Arabidopsis thaliana: one gene and its partners. The protein of the gene in region 3 interacts with the protein of the main gene of each other region in a pairwise test. Each region holds a gene or a part of one and is shown on either strand. Other genes may lie near its edges.

Region 1 (3,754 bases), on a different chromosome or scaffold from region 3:
CCGGCTTGCTTTCTGGCGTAGTAGTCATAGATGTTACTAGCGATCACACCTGAGAACACAAATGACCCAATAGGCAAAGCTGTAATCTGGAAATTGTAAAGAGAACCGAAGCTCTTCAGGCCAAAAATGTCAGAGACTGAAGCAGGAGCAATCGCCCAATGAGCGCCATAACCCATTCCTATCACAATGGTCACTACGTAGATCTTCCCTGGCCAATCTATGGCATAGTAGATGAGCCCCAAAGACATTATCGCCTGAACCACAGACATTGCCAACGTTCTTGGAAGTGAGAGTTTCCTTTTGAAGAGGCAGAAAGAGATGAATCTGTCAGTAAAAAACACAGATGCTTCTTAAAAGCGAAAGTGAAATGGTTAAGGGTTTTGTACCTTATGATTAGCTCAGAGAAGTAGCCACCAGCAACACGGCCGAGAAAATTGGAGATGCTGATCAGTGAGACAAATATTTTGGTGTTGCTGTACCCGAGGGAATAACAAATCTGACCAAGATTGTCTATAATCGTGATTCCCGAACCTACACCTAGAACCAGAGACATAAATATAAGCCAGAAGTCAGCTTGTCCCAAAGCTTGTAACAAGGTGAAATCTTCTCCTATACACGGCGCTCTTTTCTTTTCCGGCGGTCTGTCACTTCTCTCAATTAAAGTTCTAGCCTCATGCTGATCCACATTGGAAGTTCCTTCTTCAGGCTTCACTGAGGTGACATTATTACCCGAGATGAAAACCGATGAAAAAGGGACAAGAACTGGAACAACCATGAAAATGACAAGGATGGCTCCAGAGGTTGTGATAATCGTTTGAGTCATATCAAAAACACTCTGAAGTACCAACAATCCTAGTAAATATACCGCAAGGACAACACAGAAACCGTAAATAGCCAGGAATCTTAAATCATCAGATCGCAAGTTCGTTCTGCAACTTCTTTCCACGGGTCTAACAATAAATAGTAGAGCAAGAACCACGACTGGTGGTCCAAGAGCAACCATGAGAATAACCGAAGAATCATGAGAAGGGTTGAACATCAAATAAACCTGAGTCAAGATTGCTCCACTCAAGCCAGAAAACCCTTTCAGGATTCCCACCACAGGACCTCGGCTTTCTGGGAAGTTATGAATGCATGACACAAGCGACGCTGTATTGTAGTATGTTTCCCCATTTGTTCCCACGAATATAGCAACAAACAACTACATGAACAAATAAACCAGAATCAAGCAGGATCACACTCATATGTAAGCTTTAACATCTTTTTTTTTTTTTTTTTTTGAATATCTGGAAGTTCAAGCCAAAATTAGAGAATCGTACAAATAATCAAAAGCAAAGCACAATTACTAACGAAATCGCAAATGTGTAAGCAATTTTGATTTGTAAAATTCATCTCACCATCCAGAGAGGCAAATTAGGCAATTGGCCAGTGACGACGAGCCAAACAACACCGTAGCCGAAAAGGTTCTGAGTTGCACCGACGAGTAGAACCACCCAGGAAGGTGAGACTTCAGATAAAGCACCGGAGACGAATCCGATGGCGTCACCGAGGTTTTTAGCTACGCCGAGAAGAGCGATCTGTTTCTGATTGTAGCCAAGGGAAGTCTTGATTGCCGGAGACATAGAGCCGCCGAATAGATAGCCAACGCCGGCGACGGATTGGACCCACATGGCGCAGACGAAAACTAGCCATCGGTCGTTGACTAGGAGCTCTAGTTTGTGACGCCACAAAGTCATCATAGTCAAACGCTCTCAAAACTTTCTATTTCTTTTTTTTTTTCGTTGATTCATATGATTACTTATTTTGTAATTTTCAGTTTCAAAGAAAAGTTTGGACAACACCGTAAATACAAATAAAATGTTTACTTATTTATATACAATTCATGTGTAAGGTTGAGAAACAAATAAGCAACAAGATAAAAAAAAAAAAAAAACACGAATCAATGAAGAGGTATACACTTCACAAGCTTAGGTTTAAAAATTGGTTTGCAAAAGCATTCACTTTTGTATCTCCCCAAAATGAATCTGTTAGTTTGAGTTGCGCTTAAGGTACACCAAAACTCCAAGTCCAGCAGCAAGAGCAGCCCCGGCTGCAACCGTTTTGTAAGCGGCTGCCCATGAGTTTGACTGGTCGTAGTCCATATCCTCTGAACTTAGACCTCTCCTGTGCCCTCTTTCTTCTGTGTAGTCCAAATGCAATTTTAAACCCTGCACCATTTGGAATCCCCAACCCAAATATACTCTTCTTTAGCCCAAAATCCACATTAACCAAAACGAGACCGCGGATTTAAGGTATCATTTCATCCTAGTTCTTTACACTAATTGACAATAAGTATGGATGTACAATTTATTACCTTCCAGCCTATTGATTTTGCATGTTCTACAGCAGCTCCAAGATCATTATCTGATGCTAAAACAACTTTGTCATTGTCTTCATCTTCGTACTACACAACACAAAATATGTCAACAAAAGAAGAAAATTTTTCCTATCTTCTCGTTTAATAAGTTTTCGAATAAATATGTACCATTATCTGAGGCAAGTTATCAGGCTCAATGTCATCCCCCATTCTTTGTAGGATTGCTGTTATCAGAGTTGTCAAACTCTGTGTTTCTGTTATTGAAAAGTAAAAACAAAAGGTTAATGGACTAAGCAGCATTGGCATAATAGGTGTCCTGTTTCTCAAGAGTTATGATTTAACGTACCACACATAAATCTATGCATTCGTCCCTTTTTATCTTGGAGTTTAAAAGCAAATGTGTTGGGATATGAAAATGATTTTGTTACTTCTATCTCCGAAGATAATTTCATCGACTCTTCTTCACTGAAAAATCATATGATCCAGTTTAAGAAACCACCTTATGGTCAAAACTAAATGGTTCAAAGGAATATGAGTAGAAACCTCCTCGTTTCATCGCCATCTTCGTTAGGAGACAAAGCCATAGCAGAGTCCCAAAACTTTTGCATCATTGAGTTTGCTGTCTCATTGTTTATTCCAGCCGTACTTCCAGCCTTGTCAAAAGGAAATAAAGAGTTTATAGCAAAACAAGAATAGTATGCAACAAATATATCATGTTCTTTCTTCTCTCGGATTGTTTATCGATCTTGTCTCATGTTTTCGACTTCAACTAGAAGAGAATAATAGAAGAAAAAAAGTGTACCGTAGTAACAGCAGCATGAGTTATGTGGATCACATCAATAACAGCGACAACATCTCCATCTGTATGTAATCATCAACATTAGACAAGTGTTGAAATAACAATGCTTCATACTTTATAGCTCAAAGTCAGTTTTGAGGACATTTTGTTACCTTTATCCAATACAGGAAGATGCAGAAATTTGCCATTATGCATGATATGTAAGGCTTCAACAATTGCCATATCAACTGTTGCAGATTCTGGATTCGGTGTCATAACCTATAGAATAATGGGATTGAAAAGAAACAACAAAGACGAAAAATGAGTACTCATATAAATCTAAGAGTTGAAAAGAATAATTTCAACCAGATTCAAAACTAACGAGCATAAGCATACATACATATATAGCGAAAACACGAACTTAACGAAAACTTTACCTTCTCCACAGTAGTTGTCTCTTGAGGAAGGTTTTGGGATATCACCCGCATCAAGATGTCCTTTGAGCTAACAAAAATCACAATTTAAGATCAAAGTTCCACTAGAAAAGATTAAAACATGATATTGTAGAGAAAAAATTTCAGAACCATAGAAACGAAAAAGAAGACAAGGGGCCAAATATG
Region 2 (3,754 bases), on a different chromosome or scaffold from region 3:
GGCGGAGAGCTCTTCACGTATTTGGGCCTTTGTTTGATTAGAAGCTTTGAGTGATAATAATTTTGACCCATTAAAGGCCCATTGATCTGGTCACATATAACCATTGGGTCCACCAGGAGCATTAAAGCTCAAACGCATAAAGAATTTTTATTTTTTAGTTGGAAGGTATCTGTATGCATCTTATCTTCGTTTTAGGGTCGTGATATTTTCTCAAGTTTTTCTTAGGGGACCAATTTATTTTTAGATTTATTTGATTCTATCTTACATTTCTCTTAGTTCACGTTGTCTTTGTATACGTGTTTATGGATATTACATAACTGAAAATCAAGATCAGTCAATCAGTGTAACATCAATCATCAATAACCCTGCGGGATGTATATAAAACTAAGGGATATATGAGGAAAATCAGATTCCAGATTAAGTTCATAAATATTGATTCACCTAAAATCTATAATAACATAGTAGTTCAGAAGCATGAAATAATTCTATAAAAAATCATGAATTATCTACATAAAAATATCGCATATTGTAGATAAGAGTCACCCCTGAAAGAAAAACGATAGTTTTCTGTATTTGGTTATCAATCAATCCTATGTGGGTTTATATCTTATCTAATGTAAAAATTACACAAAGGATAGTGTCTGCAAATATCTAAATGAAAACACTTAATTCCAAAATGAGAAATCAAGTGGGTTTTGCCTAGCTAATTGTATAAATAGTAACACAATCATAATCTCTTCTTCCATCAGGTCTTCTTCATAATATATTTCTTCTCTAATAATTGAAAGCAAAAGAAAACAGTTTTTTTTTTTAGAAAGGTAAAGAAATGGAGGAAACAAAGGAGAGAAAGATAGTAGTAGCAGTAGACGAAAGCGAAGAGAGCATGGAAGCTCTGTCATGGAGTCTTGACAATCTTTTTCCATATGGTTCCAATAATACACTCATCCTCCTCTACGTCAAGCCCCCTCTTCCCGTTTACTCTTCCCTCGATGCCGCAGGTTAGTCCTCGTTCTTTCACGATTCATATCTTTCCCTAATTATAATCTGTTCACTTTAGTTATAGATTTTTGTTTGGTCGATTTCCAGGGTTTATAGTGACAGGAGACCCGGTTGCAGCTTTGAAGAAGTATGAATACGAGCTCGTGGAATCGGTCATGGCTCGGTCTCGAACCGTGTACCAAGATTATGAGTCTGATGTAAGCTTATTTCTATCGATTTTTTATCACTTAATTTGCTGGATTATACTTGCTTAAAAAACTTGAGAAATTATGAGAAAGTGAATTTAATCAAGTAGTTATGAGTTAATCTGTTTATCATGAGCAATATTTAGTACAAAAAATATAACATATGATAAGCAAAATATGGTTGTTTTCAAAGAGAGTTGGCGAAATAAATGTAAATATAACCAAATTAATGTGCAGATTAATATAGAGAGACGAGTTGGAAGAGGAGATGCTAAGGAAGTTATATGCAACGCAGTTCAGAAACTTAGAGTTGATATGTTAGTAATGGGCACTCATGACTATGGCTTCTTCAAAAGGTAAGGTTTCAATCTCTTATAAGAAACAAAAATATTTTGGTTTAATGGTTATTTGATAATCATTTGATATATTTGATAGGGCTTTGCTAGGGAGTGTGAGCGAGTATTGCGCCAAACGAGTCAAGTGTCCTGTGGTTATCGTCAAGAAGCAAGCTCAAGATAATTAAGCTCATATGATTGCATTGTGTATATGTTTCGAAAGAACTGGTGTAACACTTGAATCAATCTTCGTATGCGATAATAAAATACATAACGGTTTAAACAAATTTAGCAGATATTTTTGCTTATATAAAACTAGCTGACAATGACATCAATCAACCAATTAAATTCAAATCTACATTCTCTACATACAATGCCAAATTAAAAACTAATGTAAACGCAAATTTCAATTTAACGTATAGAAGAATGTAATGAACCATATACCAAGTTTTGAATATTTGCAATTTTGTTGTTTGAACACTTAATTGTTGTTCGCTTCAAAGTTCAATAAAGGCCTCAAGGCCCAAAGTATATCTGTTACTCATCCAGTCGACACAGTCATACTTAAACGTCGCCGTTTCCGTGTTCGAAGCTTCGTGAAAATCTTCAATCTCGCGAGAGAGAAGAAGAAGAAGAAGAAGAAGAAGAAGCGATGTTCCTGGTGGATTGGTTCTATGGAGTTCTGGCAACTCTGGGACTATGGCAGAAAGAAGCGAAGATTCTGTTTCTAGGTCTCGACAACGCCGGCAAAACCACCTTGCTTCACATGTTAAAGGACGAGGTTCGTTTTCTTCGAGCCATATCAGTAATCGCTGTCTAGAATCTTGTTTCTTTTACTTAGCGCGAACGAATCAAAGTCTTAATCAGCGATAATCGTTTGATTTGGGTTTCAGAGACTGGTCCAGCATCAGCCGACACAGCATCCGACATCGGAAGAGCTTAGTATCGGCAAAATCAAGTTCAAAGCCTTCGATTTGGGAGGTCATCAGATTGCTCGTAGAGTCTGGAAGGACTATTACGCTAAGGTTTGATCTTCTTTCTTCTTTGGATTTTATTGTTAGGTCAATCAATTTAGCAAGTCTTTGGAAGGACTATTGCGCTCGTATAGTTGTATGTAGACTCTAAGCTGACTCTGTTATAGATTACAATCTTCCCTGTGCCCATATAAACAATAGTTAGATGATAGAGGTGAAGTGAAATCTTCAATGAAGTTTGTCATATAGCAATTCTCTTTTGAATGTTGCAGCATGAGGTCCTGTGATTACATTCTGCTGGTTATGTGTACCTAGTAAGCTCTTGCTGTGTACTACTCCTACTCTGTTCCTTAGCCACTGTGTTGCTCCGTTGGGTTATATAAGTTTGCAGATGATAGTTTGAAATGATTGAGCTATAGTAAAATCTTCAGATGATAGATATACATATACATCATATACTGTAGTTTAAAATGACATTGTGATTGGTATGTGGAGCCAGTGGAGGTTGAAAATTAGAAGATTGTATAGCTATAGACTACTCTTACTGTCAGTTTTAGAGTCATGAGGTCCCTTGTGATTTACATTCTCATAGCTGATGATTCCAGTGAATCAAGAGATTAATAGACTCCGGTGTTTCTATTAGCTACCCTCTTTGCATTCTATCTTCAAGTTTGTAACTTTATTATTGTCTCGTATTAGGTTGATGCAGTGGTATACCTAGTTGATGCATATGACAAAGAGAGGTTTGCAGAATCAAAGAAAGAGCTTGACGCTCTTCTCTCTGATGAATCCCTAGCAAATGTCCCTTTCCTCATCCTTGGAAACAAAATCGACATTCCGTACGCTGCATCAGAAGACGAGCTGCGTTATCATCTAGGCCTCACCAGTTTCACCACTGGGAAAGGTAAAGTGAATCTAGCAGGAACAAATGTTCGTCCTCTTGAGGTGTTCATGTGCAGCATTGTCAGAAAGATGGGTTACGGCGAAGGATTTAAATGGGTTTCTCAATATATCGACTAGATCAATCATATTTAAGTCTTATCTATCTATACTGTGTGATTGGTATCTGTACGTGTTATAACCTAATGTATAATTACGATTAATGTGTGTATACAACAAGATTTGACGGCTTTTAAATTATCAATTTTGTGTTTACAGACCAAAGTTGAATCCTATGAAAAGTGTGAACCCATTTGTCTGTGACTGTGTAACTGTGTGGGGCTTAAGAAATGGCTGTATCTTAGCTTTTTTATGAAAATTC
Region 3 (3,754 bases):
TTGTCATAAAATTGATTAAGAAAACAAATGACCCTCTTTTATAAACATCTTTCAAAAAAAATTTGCATAAGGCATACAAATAGTTTGAGATAACTATGAGAAACATCATTTGTTTAAGCCAATCTGTTTTCAGTTGAGACAATTCTCTTCCTTGCCTTCTCAGCCTGCAAAATCATAGATTACTTCATAGCATTAATGAATGAACATAAAAGAATTTACAAGTGTAAAAAGCTGAAATGGCTATTTACCTGTTCCTTCCAATTTATGGAAGCTGTGACAATAGCCAGTATAGTGGCTTGCACAGTAGATCCAACCACAACACCGCACCACAGTCCTTTTCCGTTCAACTCACGACTGAAAGCTAAGTAAATTCCAACAGGAGCTCCTACAAGATAATAAGAAACAGTATTGTTCCAAGCTCCAATGTGTTGCCAACCACTTCCCCTAGCAACTCCATTTAGAACTGCTGTGAAGCCGTCGAGGATAAAGGAGAGGCAGAGCAAAGGAGTTAGGTCAGCTACATAGTCCAAAACTTCTTTGCTGTTGCTGAATGCGTATCCTATGATGTTCCTGCAGGTGAATAGAAGTATGCTAAAGAAAGCTGACTCTACTATCCAGAGACAAAGCCCTGCTAATACTGAAACCCTAGCAACTTGAGGATTCCCAGCTCCCAAATTGTTTGATACACGTGTGCTGCAAGAAACCAATCACTAAATGTTTAGGAAAGAATTGTCTATAATAAGATGAAGATGTTCTGAATGATAAAACTGAGATCATATTCATACCTCACAGCCGCGGCGACTCCAGCTGAAATCACATAGTGCAAAGTTTCTATTGTAAGACTGAAAAGAAGGAAACAGGATTCATTAGTTTTTAGTAAAGAGACCACAAAAGATAAAAAGAAGTCCTTCTATGGTACTTACCAAATTGAAAGAACAGAGGTCTCGAGTTTCGGGTTAGGGAGAAGACCTGAGCAGAGTATGAGTATCTCAAATAGCCACCATTCTAGACTATTAAAGAAGACCGAGAAAATGCAAGCGGGATAAGAAGAAGAGCATTAGGGTATGTAACTTGACGGACAAACAACTTAAAATGACTTACCAAATCATTGCAGCTGATGGGATTCCGTATTGGAAGAACTGCTTGATAGAAGACACAAAATCTCGGGATACAAATCCGCGAGTCTTCTCGCAAGAGCTGGAGAATCTCACATAACATGAGAGTATCACAGCGTAAAACCAGAAAGACACACTTGTAGCCATGGCAGGTCCATTACATCCCAGACCAAACAAGAAAACCAAAGTCCAACAAACCAAAACGTGGAACAAAAGGGTGGTCACGGCAGTGAAGAGCAGAGGAATAACCAACCCTTGTGTTAGCAGAAACCGGGACAGTGGTATGACAATCGCTTGGCCAAATAAAGCCGGTATAAGCCAAAAGGCGTAGGAGCCAGCGATTCTTGAAATTTCAGGGTCTTGTCCGAGAGAAATCAAGATCTTTTCGATGTAAAGCCAGAGAATTGATATGAGGAAACAAATTGGTATGTTGGAAGCAATAGCAGAGTATGCGTAAGTTCCGATTTTTTCATATTGTTTGGCTCCATAAGCTTGGCCACAAAGAGTTTCAAGTGCACCCACTAATCCACACTGCACAAAAATAATTGAAGTGTTTTCAATACTTGAGAGAGTCCATTTGATTCTTGAGTTGAAAAGGTTAGAGTCATAGCATAATTACCATAATGCTAAAACCGGTGACGTTTGTGAAGGAGTTTGCAAGAGCGACACCGGAGAGCTGGAGCTCGCCGTTGTGGCCAGCGACCATGACCGAGATGACAGGCAATAAGTACTGAGCAATGGTCACAGTGGCCATAGGAGCGGCCAAGCGGCTCACTCTCTTTAGCTCGACGGTTAATGGATTTGTATGCCATGTGACTTGAGAAGGGACTAGAAGCTCGTCTCTCAGAAGAAATGGCTCCTCCATTGTTTAACGTTGAAGGCCTTTCCCTTTGATTTTAAGATGATATTTATCCTATCTTTATAGACCGACTAAGTCAATAAACAACAAAGGCAACTTGAACTACAAACGTGGTGACGAAGTAGATATGATGAGTAAAGAAGCAAATTCGTTTTGACTTGTTTGAAAATATAGATACTAGTGGCACACGAATATACTATATTATAAAAATAGATATATAGAATATACATATTAAAAATGACATGTCATTAGTGTTAATACTTTTTAATTATTTACATAAGAACATATGTGAAGACTGAAGACTAATATGAATTATTTTGTTTTGTAGAGTTTGAACATTCAATCTTGTATTAATTACTTTTGTGGATTTTTATATTTTTATATAGTCCTAAAGTTTGACTCTAATTTAAGTAATTTGCTTACCTTAAGTTTTGATTCTTTAGACCACTTTAAAGACATTTGGATCTGATTTTACACAGGTTTTAGTAAATCATTTGTGGTTGAAACTAAAAGTGACAGCCGCTCTCAAGTAGAATCCAAAGTTTCGTCAGAGATTTGTCGTGAAGGTCCGAGTTTCAAAATCTGAATAGTATTGTATTATGAGCCTAAAAGCTCTCTCGGAAAGGGTTCACTAAGATTTATTGGTAGAAGATTGTGGTTATAGTCACAAATACCATAAAATAAATTTATTGGGAATGACATGTGAAAAAATTAAGAAAAGCATGTTTATGGATAAATGATGATTATACACTTACAAGTTACACAACATAGTGAAAAAGATAGGCTGAGAAAAAATCATACATATAAATTATTTTGTAAGAACATTTTTTAACACATTAATATACCATACATAAAAATTTGCTCAACACCTACAAAAATAGTTTGAGATAGCTCTCAGAAACATCCTTAGTTTAAGCCAATCTATTTTCACTAGAGACCATTCTCTTCCTAGCCTTCTCAGCCTGCAAATCATAGATTAAAATTACTTCATAGTATTAAAGAAAGAACAAAAAAGAATGTACAAGTATAACATGCTAAAATGACGAATCTTCTATTCTAAGTGTTTTACCTGTTCCTTCCAATTTATGGAAGCTGTGACAAAAGCCAATATTATGGCTTGCACAGCGGATCCGACCACAACACCACACCAAAGTCCTTTTCCGTTCAACTCACGATTGAAAGCTAAGTATACTCCAACAGGAGCTCCTACAAGATAATAAGCTACCACGTTGTTCAAAGCTCCAATGTGTTGCCAACCACTTCCCCTTGCAACCCCATTCAGAACTGCTGTGAAACCGTCGAGGATAAAGGAGAGGCAGAGCAAAGGAGTTAGGTTAGCCACATAGTCCACAACTTCTTTGCTGTTGCTGAATGCGTAGCCTATAATGTTTCGGCATGTGAAGAGAAGTGTGCTAAAGAAAGCTGACTCTACAAGCCAGAGACAAAGCCCTGCCAATACTGAAACCCTAGCAACTTGAGGAATCCCAGCTCCCAATTTGTTTGACACGCGTGTGCTGCAAGAAACCAAATGACTATTATTGTTTAGGAAGAAGATGTTGAATATGTTTGGTTAAAAATTTGAGTTCATACCTCACAGCCGCCGCGACTCCACCTGGAATCACATAGTGCAAACTTGCTGTTGTAAGACTTGCATTAAAGAAATAAGATTCATTAGTTTTTAGTAAAGAGGATAATAAAAATAAAAAGAAGTCGTTATATGATATATATTTACCAAATTGAAAGAACAGAGGTCTCGAGTTTCGGGTTTGGGAGAAGACCT

The links.
Region 1: the proteins of DTX1 (region 3) and AT5G50520 interact in a protein complementation assay, tested with the Arabidopsis thaliana proteins (one large-scale study listed by BioGRID).
Region 2: the proteins of DTX1 (region 3) and AT3G62560 interact in a protein complementation assay, tested with the Arabidopsis thaliana proteins (one large-scale study listed by BioGRID).

What each region holds. Positions count from the first base shown.
Region 1 is NC_003076.8:20,569,849-20,573,602, forward strand, and holds the start of AT5G50520 (Major facilitator superfamily protein), read right to left. Parts: upstream 1,809-3,754; 5' UTR 1,740-1,808; coding exon 1,398-1,739; intron 1,202-1,397; coding exon 387-1,201; intron 298-386; coding exon 1-297. Other genes in the region: AT5G50530 (CBS / octicosapeptide/Phox/Bemp1 (PB1) domains-containing protein), read right to left, coding at 2,028-2,207, 2,354-2,443, 2,525-2,610, 2,703-2,821, 2,900-3,009, 3,159-3,217, 3,308-3,413, 3,572-3,638.
Region 2 is NC_003074.8:23,135,368-23,139,121, forward strand, and holds the start of AT3G62560 (Ras-related small GTP-binding family protein), read left to right. Parts: upstream 1-1,918; 5' UTR 1,919-2,171; coding exon 2,172-2,300; intron 2,301-2,412; coding exon 2,413-2,544; intron 2,545-3,192; coding exon 3,193-3,513; 3' UTR 3,514-3,754. Other genes in the region: AT3G62550 (Adenine nucleotide alpha hydrolases-like superfamily protein), read left to right, coding at 827-998, 1,087-1,196, 1,422-1,540, 1,620-1,707.
Region 3 is NC_003071.7:1,334,501-1,338,254, forward strand, and holds the start of DTX1 (MATE efflux family protein), read right to left. Parts: upstream 2,051-3,754; 5' UTR 1,981-2,050; coding exon 1,735-1,980; intron 1,647-1,734; coding exon 1,102-1,646; intron 1,011-1,101; coding exon 924-1,010; intron 843-923; coding exon 786-842; intron 694-785; coding exon 249-693; intron 165-248; coding exon 114-164; 3' UTR 1-113. Other genes in the region: AT2G04050 (MATE efflux family protein), read right to left, coding at 2,886-2,936, 3,044-3,488, 3,565-3,621, 3,707-3,754. UniProt on the Arabidopsis thaliana protein: Efflux carrier for plant-derived alkaloids, antibiotics, heavy metal and other toxic compounds. Involved in cadmium detoxification. Requires probably a proton-motive force for the efflux.